Linked DNA regions of Rhinolophus ferrumequinum. The protein of the gene in region 2 purifies or fractionates together with the protein of the main gene of each other region. This does not show direct contact. Links are inferred from orthologs where the notes say so. Each region holds a gene or a part of one and is shown on either strand. Other genes may lie near its edges.

What was found.
Region 1: the proteins of mediator of RNA polymerase II transcription subunit 21-like (region 2) and MED12L purify together in Homo sapiens (affinity purification with mass spectrometry; 3 studies listed by BioGRID and IntAct, counting the BioPlex papers as one, with this or other methods). This does not show direct contact. The link is inferred for Rhinolophus ferrumequinum from reciprocal best matches to the Homo sapiens genes MED21 and MED12L.
Region 3: the proteins of mediator of RNA polymerase II transcription subunit 21-like (region 2) and POLR2D purify together in Homo sapiens (affinity purification with mass spectrometry; 4 studies listed by BioGRID and IntAct, with this or other methods). This does not show direct contact. The link is inferred for Rhinolophus ferrumequinum from reciprocal best matches to the Homo sapiens genes MED21 and POLR2D.

What each region holds. Positions count from the first base shown.
Region 1 is NC_046285.1:10,003,620-10,007,374, reverse strand, and holds the start of MED12L (mediator of RNA polymerase II transcription subunit 12-like protein), read right to left. Parts: upstream 2,457-3,755; 5' UTR 1,996-2,456; intron 1,535-1,995; 5' UTR 1,406-1,534; coding exon 1,307-1,405; intron 1-1,306. UniProt on the Homo sapiens protein: May be a component of the Mediator complex, a coactivator involved in the regulated transcription of nearly all RNA polymerase II-dependent genes.
Region 2 is NC_046286.1:94,043,204-94,045,260, reverse strand, and holds mediator of RNA polymerase II transcription subunit 21-like, read left to right. Parts: upstream 1-912; coding exon 913-1,371; 3' UTR 1,372-1,420; downstream 1,421-2,057. Other genes in the region: MTHFD1L (monofunctional C1-tetrahydrofolate synthase, mitochondrial), read right to left, coding at 566-705. UniProt on the Homo sapiens protein: Component of the Mediator complex, a coactivator involved in the regulated transcription of nearly all RNA polymerase II-dependent genes.
Region 3 is NW_022680440.1:944,384-948,138, forward strand, and holds the start of POLR2D (DNA-directed RNA polymerase II subunit RPB4), read right to left. Parts: upstream 2,826-3,755; 5' UTR 2,761-2,825; coding exon 2,688-2,760; intron 1-2,687. UniProt on the Homo sapiens protein: Core component of RNA polymerase II (Pol II), a DNA-dependent RNA polymerase which synthesizes mRNA precursors and many functional non-coding RNAs using the four ribonucleoside triphosphates as substrates.

The DNA.
Region 1 (3,755 bases), on a different chromosome or scaffold from region 2:
CCTCAGCTGAGAACCACCTGTAAAAACCTTCCCAGCTTCAGTATGAACTACTCAAAGGATGCTCAAAGATGTTTAATGTGCTAACCCTCTAAAAGGAGCTGTCAGTCCTTTTGCAGAAACGTTAACAAAACAGTTTAACCAGAACGTTCTTTCTCTATTACTGAAATAGATACATTTATCAAAAGGGAAGTCTTAAGGACCTCTCCTTGCCTTCTTTACAAAGCCCTTTCTGTGATGTCAGTGGGCCGGTAAACTTTTAATAGAGGGTTTTTAGATTCCCAGGAAGAGAAGTTCTGAAACGTTCTCCCTCGTGTTTAGCTGAAGAAAACAGAGAGAGGATGGGTGGGCTGCAACTGGCAAACTCAGAAAAGCACAGCAGGGTAGCAGGTGAGCTTTAAAAAAAAAAAAAAAAAAAGCAAATCCCTTGGCAAATTGTGTCGCCAAGGGTGATCACTATAACTGGAGATTTGTTATATAATTACTTGTTAACTACGGACAAACACATACATGTCTACAAAATGCCATGGTTACTCTAGCCATTGAAGCTAGTGAACCTAGTCCAAGAGTCAAGGTTTCTCCAACAGTTGCACTCAAAGAAAGAAGCAATCTCGGTACCTATTCCCTTCCAAGGTAACAGGATTGCTTTTACGTATACAAAACTGCCTCCGGCAAATTAAGCCAATCGCCTCCAGGAACGAAATCACTTTTTTCCCGTAATATCGATTTTTAAAGGGGAGAGGGGATACAGAAAGTACGTCCAAAGAGCTAAATATTTATCACTTCGATAAAAACGACTTCGCTCCAAACTGCAAATTTTGAACAGAAAAGGTCCCCACCCCCTCACGCCCCCCCCACCCCCCGCACTAACACCCAGTCCCTGCTTAGCTGGAGCAAAAACACGAGACCCGTGTCGGATGCACTGCATTCCAACATTTTTCAAAAAGTTTACGAGGATTTAGCAAAGCGGCAGGGAGAAAAATAAAGCAGGCAGAAGCGGGGGAGAGCGAGCAGGAGGGTTTCGGCAAAGAAGAACCAGATGAGCGCCCGGCAATGCTGTGCAAGGCCCGGTAACGGAGAAGCGACCCTGCACCCGAAGAGCAAGCGTCTCAGTGGAGCGCGGGGACTGACAGCCGCTGGGTCTCCGCCGCCCAGGGTCCCCCAGTCCCCAACCCGGCCCCTGCCGCCAGTCCCCTCCCTGACCCTTCCCCCGCAGCGCCGCCGTTGCCCGCTGGGCCAACTTGGCCCGGGGTCAGCTCTGCGGAGCGCGGTCCCGGTTGCCGGGGAGGCCGGCAGCGCCCTTACCTACCTCCTTCTGCTTAGGGTCCTGCGGGTAGACGTCCGGCGGCCCAAGCCGGGGACGTTTCAGTGGTCTCTGCTCATAGCTGAGAAGCCCGAAGGCGGCCATGATCTCTCATGTTAACCGGCGAAATGAATGAGAGTTGGAGCTGGAGCAGCCGCCTCTGAGCACCAGGGAGCAGCACTTTGCAGACAGACTCCGTCTCTCCCCCTCCTCGCTCGCTCGCTCGCTGTGGCGCTGCAGGCAAGAATAAAGCAGGTTGGATGCTGCCGCTGCCAGACACGCAGACACGCACTGATGGGGGCAGCCTTCGGCGGGCACCCTGCTGCGCTGGGGCTCCGGGACGCACCGCTCCTGTGGCGGCGGCCGACAGAAGCTGAAGGTCCGCTCGGGTCCTCCGCAGCGCCGGCCTCCCGCCCCCCCTACTCTGTCCCCAGGGGGAGGAGCAGCTGATGGAAACGTGTGACTTTTTTCACCAATGGACCCAAACCCACCCAGCCCGGCACAGGGCGGGGGTGGGGGAGGGGCACCGGGGGAGAAAAAAACTTTTCTTGGCGCCCAGGCGGGTGGCCCAAGTGCTCGCCCCAGGCTAGGGTGGCCCTCCGGCCCCAGGAAGAGACTGCGGAGCGGCCCGCCTCCGCCCCTCTTCCTCGTCAGGGATCCTTCCACGCCGCCACGCGCCCCGCAGACCCAGCCACCTGGGCGCGGACTCGACTCCGGCGGAGAGGCCTGGAGGGGATGGGGGAGGCAGAGATGCGGACGGTGGGGAAGCCGCGGGTGCCTCCTAGACGCCCGCTGGGCTCCGGTGGCGCATCGGCGGCTCCGGGCAGGCGCCGAGGCGCGCAGCTGGCGGTCTCGGCGGCTGGAGGGGGCCGTGCTCACGGTGGCGCGGGGCCGACTTAACCCTTTGCTGCCCCTCCAGGGGCTGGGGAAAGAGGGTGAGGAGGGTAGGCTGTGAGCGCCGACCCCGGCAGCCCGCCCGCCGGCATCTCAGGCTCCTCCCCCCCAGCCGCAGCTCCTCCTCCCACCCCACCCCCCAACAGTTTACCTGTTGGTCCCCGGCTAGTGGGCAGGGGCCCGCGGCAGCGGCACTCTGGCGGCCGCAGCCTCCATGATTCGGGTTGGGGTGGGGGGGATCGGATTTGATTTTATTAATAAGGCATCAGTCTCCTCCGGGAGAGCTCTGCGGACGCCGCGAAGTTTGCCACTGTCTGGGGGCGGCGGGCGACGCCGGCTCGCCGCCGCCGCCGCCGGCGTTCTCGCCCCCACCGCCCGGGAGCGCGAGCCTCCGAGTTGGCGGACGCGGCGCGGCGACCGCACTGAGCATGCCCAGCTCGGCGGCCGGACCGCGGAGGAGTTGGCTGCGAGCGCGCTCCGATCCGCCTCTCCAGGTTTTCGCAGCCGCAGAGCGCGCAGCCCGGGGGCCCCGGCGCCGGGACCTGCCCTGGGGCGAATCCTGGCGAGGGAGGGGGCACCCCCAGGGCCCCTCTCCCGGTCGCGGGCAGCGTCGTCCGCCTCGACCTCTCCTAAGGTCGCTGTTCTTGTAGCCTGGGCCGGAAATCTCACCTGCGCCGGGCGTGTGGACGGACGGAGGGAGGGAGGCAGGGAGGTGATCCTCCAGGGAAAACCTTAGTCCTCCAACCCGCCCGCGCTCCATTCTCGCTCCGGGGTGTGGGCACCGAGATGCTGGGCCACCTGCCGCGAGCACTAGGAGACCAGAGCTGCGGGGGCGGGCCCGGCTTGTCCCGAGGGACCCCGCGGGAGGCGCGCCCGGGAGGATGCGCCCGCACTTGGCCAAGAATGATGGCTGCCATTTATGGAGCCCTCGCTTGGTGCCAGGGTCTTGACAGTAAAGGTCTGTGATCCTTAAAAGAAACCTTACAAGGTTTTACTGTACCCTTTTTGTAGACAGACATTAAGTCCGCTCAAGGAGGCCCAGTGACTTGCTCAAAGCCCGGAAGCTGCCCCTGCCGGATCCGAAGTTTCTGCCCTATTCTCCACGACTTTGGATTGGAAGGACTGGGTTCCTGAACTGCCCTTGCCTAATTGTGTCACGTCTCCCACACCTTGAGGAATTTCTCAGACTCTTGGTTCCATCCTCTCTCTATAAGATGGTGCGAGCAGAATCTAACCCAAAGCCTTGGTACAGCACCTGGCACACAGTAGGTGCTCAGGAGATGTGGACCAAATCTGAATATCTACTTACCTCTGCTGACTGTAAGCAAAAGGGAGGTAAAAAAGGATAGATAAGGCGATGGCAATAGAGGCTAGTTTCTCACTCCGGACCCTCACCTATTAGCACTTCCCAATGCAGGCTGAGACCAAGTCAGGCCGGTGGTTTTTGGCTTCTTGACTCAATCTGAGCAAGTACTTTTGGAGAACAGTTACCCTCCATCAGGAGATATTTCCTGTCCACCTTCTGCACCCTGCCCCAAGGACCACCAATATCCTGGATGTA
Region 2 (2,057 bases):
CAATACAGGTTCATATCAAATGTCTTTAAAAAACGTTACAATAGAATTTATGTTTTCCAAGCAAAGCTCTCTGAGAAATAATCCAGTCCTATAACAGTTATAAAGTGAAATCATAATAAACAGAAACAGAAGGAACATAGTTCTAGAAGAAATCTGATGAGATGTAGCATCAGTGAACCAAAAAACCGTCTGTACAAACACTGAACAACCTCACCCACGAGAGGAATCATTCTGATCCGTATGCGCTCCATTCAGCAACCAGAGCTCTATCCTCCCATGACCGTGGGGCTAGAAAATGCTGACATCAGCCTCAGATAGGAATCTTAGGACTAAATAGTGTTTACATTATGCTCCTTTCCAAAATACTGCATACAAGTAACTTTGTGGGTGTTAATATTTACTGGAACTTACCTAAACTCTAAGTGCCCTATGATGGTAACTTGTAAAAAAGGAGACATTCTAGAAAACTAGAGTTATTAAGCAGGTTTCAAAATGTTTCAAACGCTCAATTCTGCTTTATCTTAACTTTCAAATTGGTTTCACTAGGAAGGAAGAAGGGACTTACGCTTGGCCCGCCCCCGTGCATCTTCAGAGCTCGCACTGTTGCCACCAGCACGACGACGTTGGGCACTAAACCAGAAGCTCGGCACTTGATGTTGAAGAATTTCTCCATACCAATATCAGCACCAAAGCCAGCTTCAGTCACTGTGGAGAATCAAGTTGGAAACTTGCTATTATCTTCTAAAAACAATAATAAGGCGTGGCAATCATTGGTATGGTTCAAATTCAAAGGACAGTTTACATTTCCCACCAAGTCCAGGCTACTACACAGCACGGCACCTTGTTCATATACAAAGGTAAACTAACCCCCAGTTTTAGAAAATGTTCTATGTCTTGACATTCCCTAAAAAGATGACTCTCTCTCATTTGCTTGCAGGGACATGGCGGCTTACACAGCTGCAGGACGCGGTGAACTCGCCTGCAGACCAGTTTTGTAATGCAATTGGAGTGTTGCCCCAGTGTGGTCCTCCTGCCTCTTTTAGTAATATTCAGACAACAATTAACAAAGATCAGCCAGCTAATCCCACAGAAGACTATGCCCAGCTTTTTGCAGCACTGATTGCACGAACAGCAAAAGACATCGATGTTTTGATAGATTCCTTGCCCAGTGAAGAATCTACAGCTGCTTTACAGGCTGCTAGCTTGTATAAGCTAGAAGAAGAAAATCACGAAGTGGCTACATGTCTGGAGGATGTTGTTTATCGAGGGGACATGCTTCTGGAAAAGATACAAAGTGCACTTGCTGATATTGCGCAGTCACAGCTGAAGACAAGACGCGGTACCCATAGCCAGTCTCTGCCAGACTCATAGTACCAGCGTATACCGCATGGCTGAGAAAAGAGCTATTTCAATGGCATTAAGAATTATACATCAGATTTAGATGTAAGCCTTACCAACAGTTACAGAAACATTAACCACTATAACACATTATCTTTCCAGCTATTTTTAACAGTCTTCTAGTTTCACTCTTGATAAATAAGCTTGTAAGATTGTGATTGAACCAGCTTTAAACCATCATTATACTATCATTTTTTATTATCCAAATGAAATTATTGAGGCAGCTCTTACATTAATGGTCATAATTAAACAAATTACCGTAAAATTCTATTGTGGGAGAAAAAAAAAAAGATGGCCCTCTGCTTCATACCACCATGCCTTAAGGATCCTTTGCCAAGGCCTAGATTTTCCTTTCGGTAGAGTAACTCAGAGCAAAACTTTTCTGAACACAGCTGGGATTTTCAACTTTTTAATCAGGTTCCAAATTGTATCAAAGAACACTGCCAGCATAATTACGACGGAAGAGCCTTTCGCAATGTAGATCATACATAGAATTGTTTCTTTAGTGCCACTGGTCATTTCTGTTGATTGACAACATTCAAGTTAGTTGAGTGGCTTAAGGAGGTTCGTTATTATATAAGATAGCATCTTCATTCCATAACCACAGGGACACTGTAGGGGTTCATAACGAGTCTCCCCAGAATGTGCTACCCTGGAAT
Region 3 (3,755 bases), on a different chromosome or scaffold from region 2:
AGGGGTTGAGGAGCATGTAAGGAGAAAACTATTTTTATTTGAAAGGTTCTCATTGCTACTGAATATAACAGGCACACAAAAGCTATTTTCTACTTCAGGGCAGCATGGTTTGAACGAGAGGAAGCTCAGAGTTGATTCCAACCCAACCCTCTGAGGTGGTATACAGGTGAAGAAACTACGGCCCTAGAGCAATGAAGTATCAGGACATATGACCCCAAGTCTCTGAAGTGAAAAGAGTTAAGTGACATAAGGGGGATAAATGCAGCAGCAGCTAAATAGTGGGTCAGTCTCAGCTTCTGAGGCTGCAGCATTAATACAGCCTTAGAAAATGGAAATTAAGAGGCTAAACAAGTTACTACTAATAATTACCTCCAAGTTTATTATAGCTGTCGATGTTTTTAAGGCTTCTGGAAAATCAAAGTTAGAGATGTCTCCCCTTCTGCACTAAAGAAATGTACCTGTGAAATATAATGGGATGGAACTCAGGACACCAGGAGTCTAGTCACCTGTTCCTTCGATAGATGATTAGATAAAGAAGATGTCGTGTATATACACAATGGAATACTACTCTGCTATAAAAAAGATGAAATACTGCTGTTTGTGACAACATGGATGGATCCTGAGATTACCGTATCATGCTAAGTGAAATAAGTCAGACAGAAAAAGTCTCTCATATGTGGGATATAAAACCGAAAGCAACAAAGGAACAAGAGAAACAAACAAACAAAAACTCATAGACACAGACAATAGTTTAGTGGTTACCCGAGGTTAAGTGGGAAGAGAGGTGATAGATGAGGGCAAAGGGGGTCAAATATATGGTGATGGAAGGAGAACTGACTCTGGGTGGTGAACACACAATGTGATATATAGATGATGTAATATAGAATTGACACTTGAAACCCATGTAATTTTACTAACCACTGTCACCCCAATAAATTAAAAAAAAAACGTACTCAGAAGCTTTCGGTGGTCTCCATTTTTAGTCCTTGAACTAATTACACGTTTGCTTACTTTCCATCCTACAGCAAAGGCTTTCTCTAAGGACTTACTGTTGTTCCTATATATATACATATATTCTAAAATACATAAACTTTACATGCTGTATCAGCTGAGAAGTTAAGAGATAAGAGATGTTCAGAACTCTGACACATTGTTAACTGATAGGATCTAATTATCCCCAATTCAATAAAATATTCATGAGTACCAGATGTTACCTGATTTTATCTAAACAAGTATTTTCCAGGTTAAAAAAAACACTAAGTAAAAAGTACCTACACAAAACCCACATACAAAAAAACTGGTTTAATTTATCATGAAATTAAGAAAACCATTTCCTTCTTAGTTATTATACCTTAAAAAAGAAACAAATGTGTATTTCCATTATGCTAAAAACTTCCATGAAGCTATCCTATGGAAATATTTGCACTTGAGTCTATGAAATAAAAAACTGGAAGCAACCTGTATGTATATCAATAGATAAATACTATTATTTATATTTAATAAGTAATAGTATCTGGAGCTTTAAAAGAACAGGACCTTTCTATACAATATACCATCAAAAATTTTTAAAGCTGTAAGATTTCTATAGCATAATCCCATTTTTGAAAAAAGTGTATATGTATATGCATATATTTATGAATAAGCATAAAAATTCGTTTGGAAGGATAAGCACTAACCCGTTTAGTTTCCTATGGGTGAAAGGGTGTTGCATTTCACATTGTATTGTGGATATAATTTTTAAAACAGGAGGATATTGTCAAGGTTCCCTCATTTACTTTGTAATCAGTATCTGTAGGATGCATTAGTTTAAAATCTGAAGTTTTCTCCTTCCTTTGGGTTTCTAAATTACAAATAAGGGACATCACAATGCAGACAAAGCTCCCTGACAGCAAAATGTGCTTTAGTTGCTGCGGTCTGACAAAGATTCTCCCCGTGACCGCTTTCTAGCCAGGCTCCTCTGAGCCCTCTTCCCGACCAGGCCTCAATTTTGGCCCATAAAGGCTTGATTAAAACATTAATATGATTTCTAACAGCTCAAGGCTGTATCCCTAGAATGACCTTAACTCCTTTAAAGCGCCGGCCTGTGAAAACTGAATGCAGCCAAAATAATTTAGTTTGTTCCAGCCAACAGAGGGCGGGCAGTGGGATGGTAGGAATCTAACTTCCAAAGCTCCAGCTGACAAACCCAAATGGGTTTCAAAAGGACCAACCCCCTTCCCACTTTCTGTAATTTTTCACTTCCCTGACTCTAAGCCCCGCTCACCGCCGCTCCCTATCCTTTCATTCTCCCTGTAAAACGCTGTCACCTCTACACAAATGAAGTTGAGTTCAGTCCAAGCTGGACTCTTCTCCCTGTCGCAGCTGCATATTACTGATTAAAATTCGTACCGACCGCTTTAACTAGTGTCAGCTTTGTCTTTGACGCATCTCTCGGGCACTTTGCAGTCTATCAGAGAAAACGAACTACTGAAACAAGGAGCCGCAGCCGCCCGGGGCACCCCCGAGTGGCGCCGAAGGCTCCAGGAGCCCTTCTCCCGGCACCGAGCCCAGCGGCCCGGGCCCTCCAGGTCCGCAGGCGCCTCCTCCCTGCTGGTCGCCGCGCCGCCACCCGCCGGGCTTCGGGGCAACGCCAAGTTCCGCGGCGGCCACGCAGAACGGCGGGACAATCGCACGGCCCCAGGCCTCACCTTTTGGAAAGATGAGCTGGGAGGCGTCCTCCTCGACGTCGCCAGCCAGCGCATCGCTGCCACCCGCCGCCATCGCCGAGCTACGCGCCGCCACCCACACCGCCGGAAGCGGAAGCGTGGGGACCCCGGTGCAGCCACGTCCGGGGCGTGGCGGGGGCGTGGCGGGCCGGGGCCAGGACGCTGCGAGGGGAGGGGTTGTGCCGCGAGTCTTGGAGCGGGTCCCGGGACCGTTTTGAGCCTCAGCTTCTCACCCGTGAAATGTGGGTAAGGACACCTGCTTCCCAGTGGGGAGGGGTGGGCTGGATGACATACAGGAATGTGCCGGCTGACCCCAGGAACTCTCCGTTGAAGGGATGCCGGGTCGGTGACCTCGAAAACGTACCGGGGAATTTCTTCCAATGCCTTACGCATTTTAAATTTTGACGTGTAGTGGATTATTCTGATACTTCTGAGCACGTGGACAGTGATTTTGAGAGGCCTTTAATGTCTGTTGAAGCACTTGGATTATACATAGAAAAGTAAGCAAATGGAAAATGATGTTTTCAAATTCAGAGAAAAGATTGTAAAATAAAGGACATAATTATAGTGCATTGCTTCGCTCAGTAGTGAGCAGTGTTTAGGTATCATGTAAGCTCTGTTCAAATGAAAAATAAACCACACAAGAATATGTACCTTGTATTCCTTTACTTTATAATTTTTACAAAATTAATTTGCTTTGTATGTGTATTTCTAGAAGAAATGTATTGGGTATGTCGAAAGAATGCCTAGCCTAAGAAAGTCTTATAAGAGTTTATTTGAGCCAAACGGATGACAATTGCAGGCAAACAAAATCTCAACAGATTGAGAAAATGCTCCAGAAAATGGCAGTTTTGCAGCTTATTTTATACATTAGAGTCAAAGGAGGAGACCTAAGAAGGTTTACATGACATCCATTGATGGCAAATAAGGGGTGGGAGAAAGCAAAACGGAGAAATCTCTGGCATTGGATAAAAAGCAAAACGGAGTGGACATACTTTATATACATTGGTGGGCACAGGATAGTTAACATTTACAACACATAGAGATGGT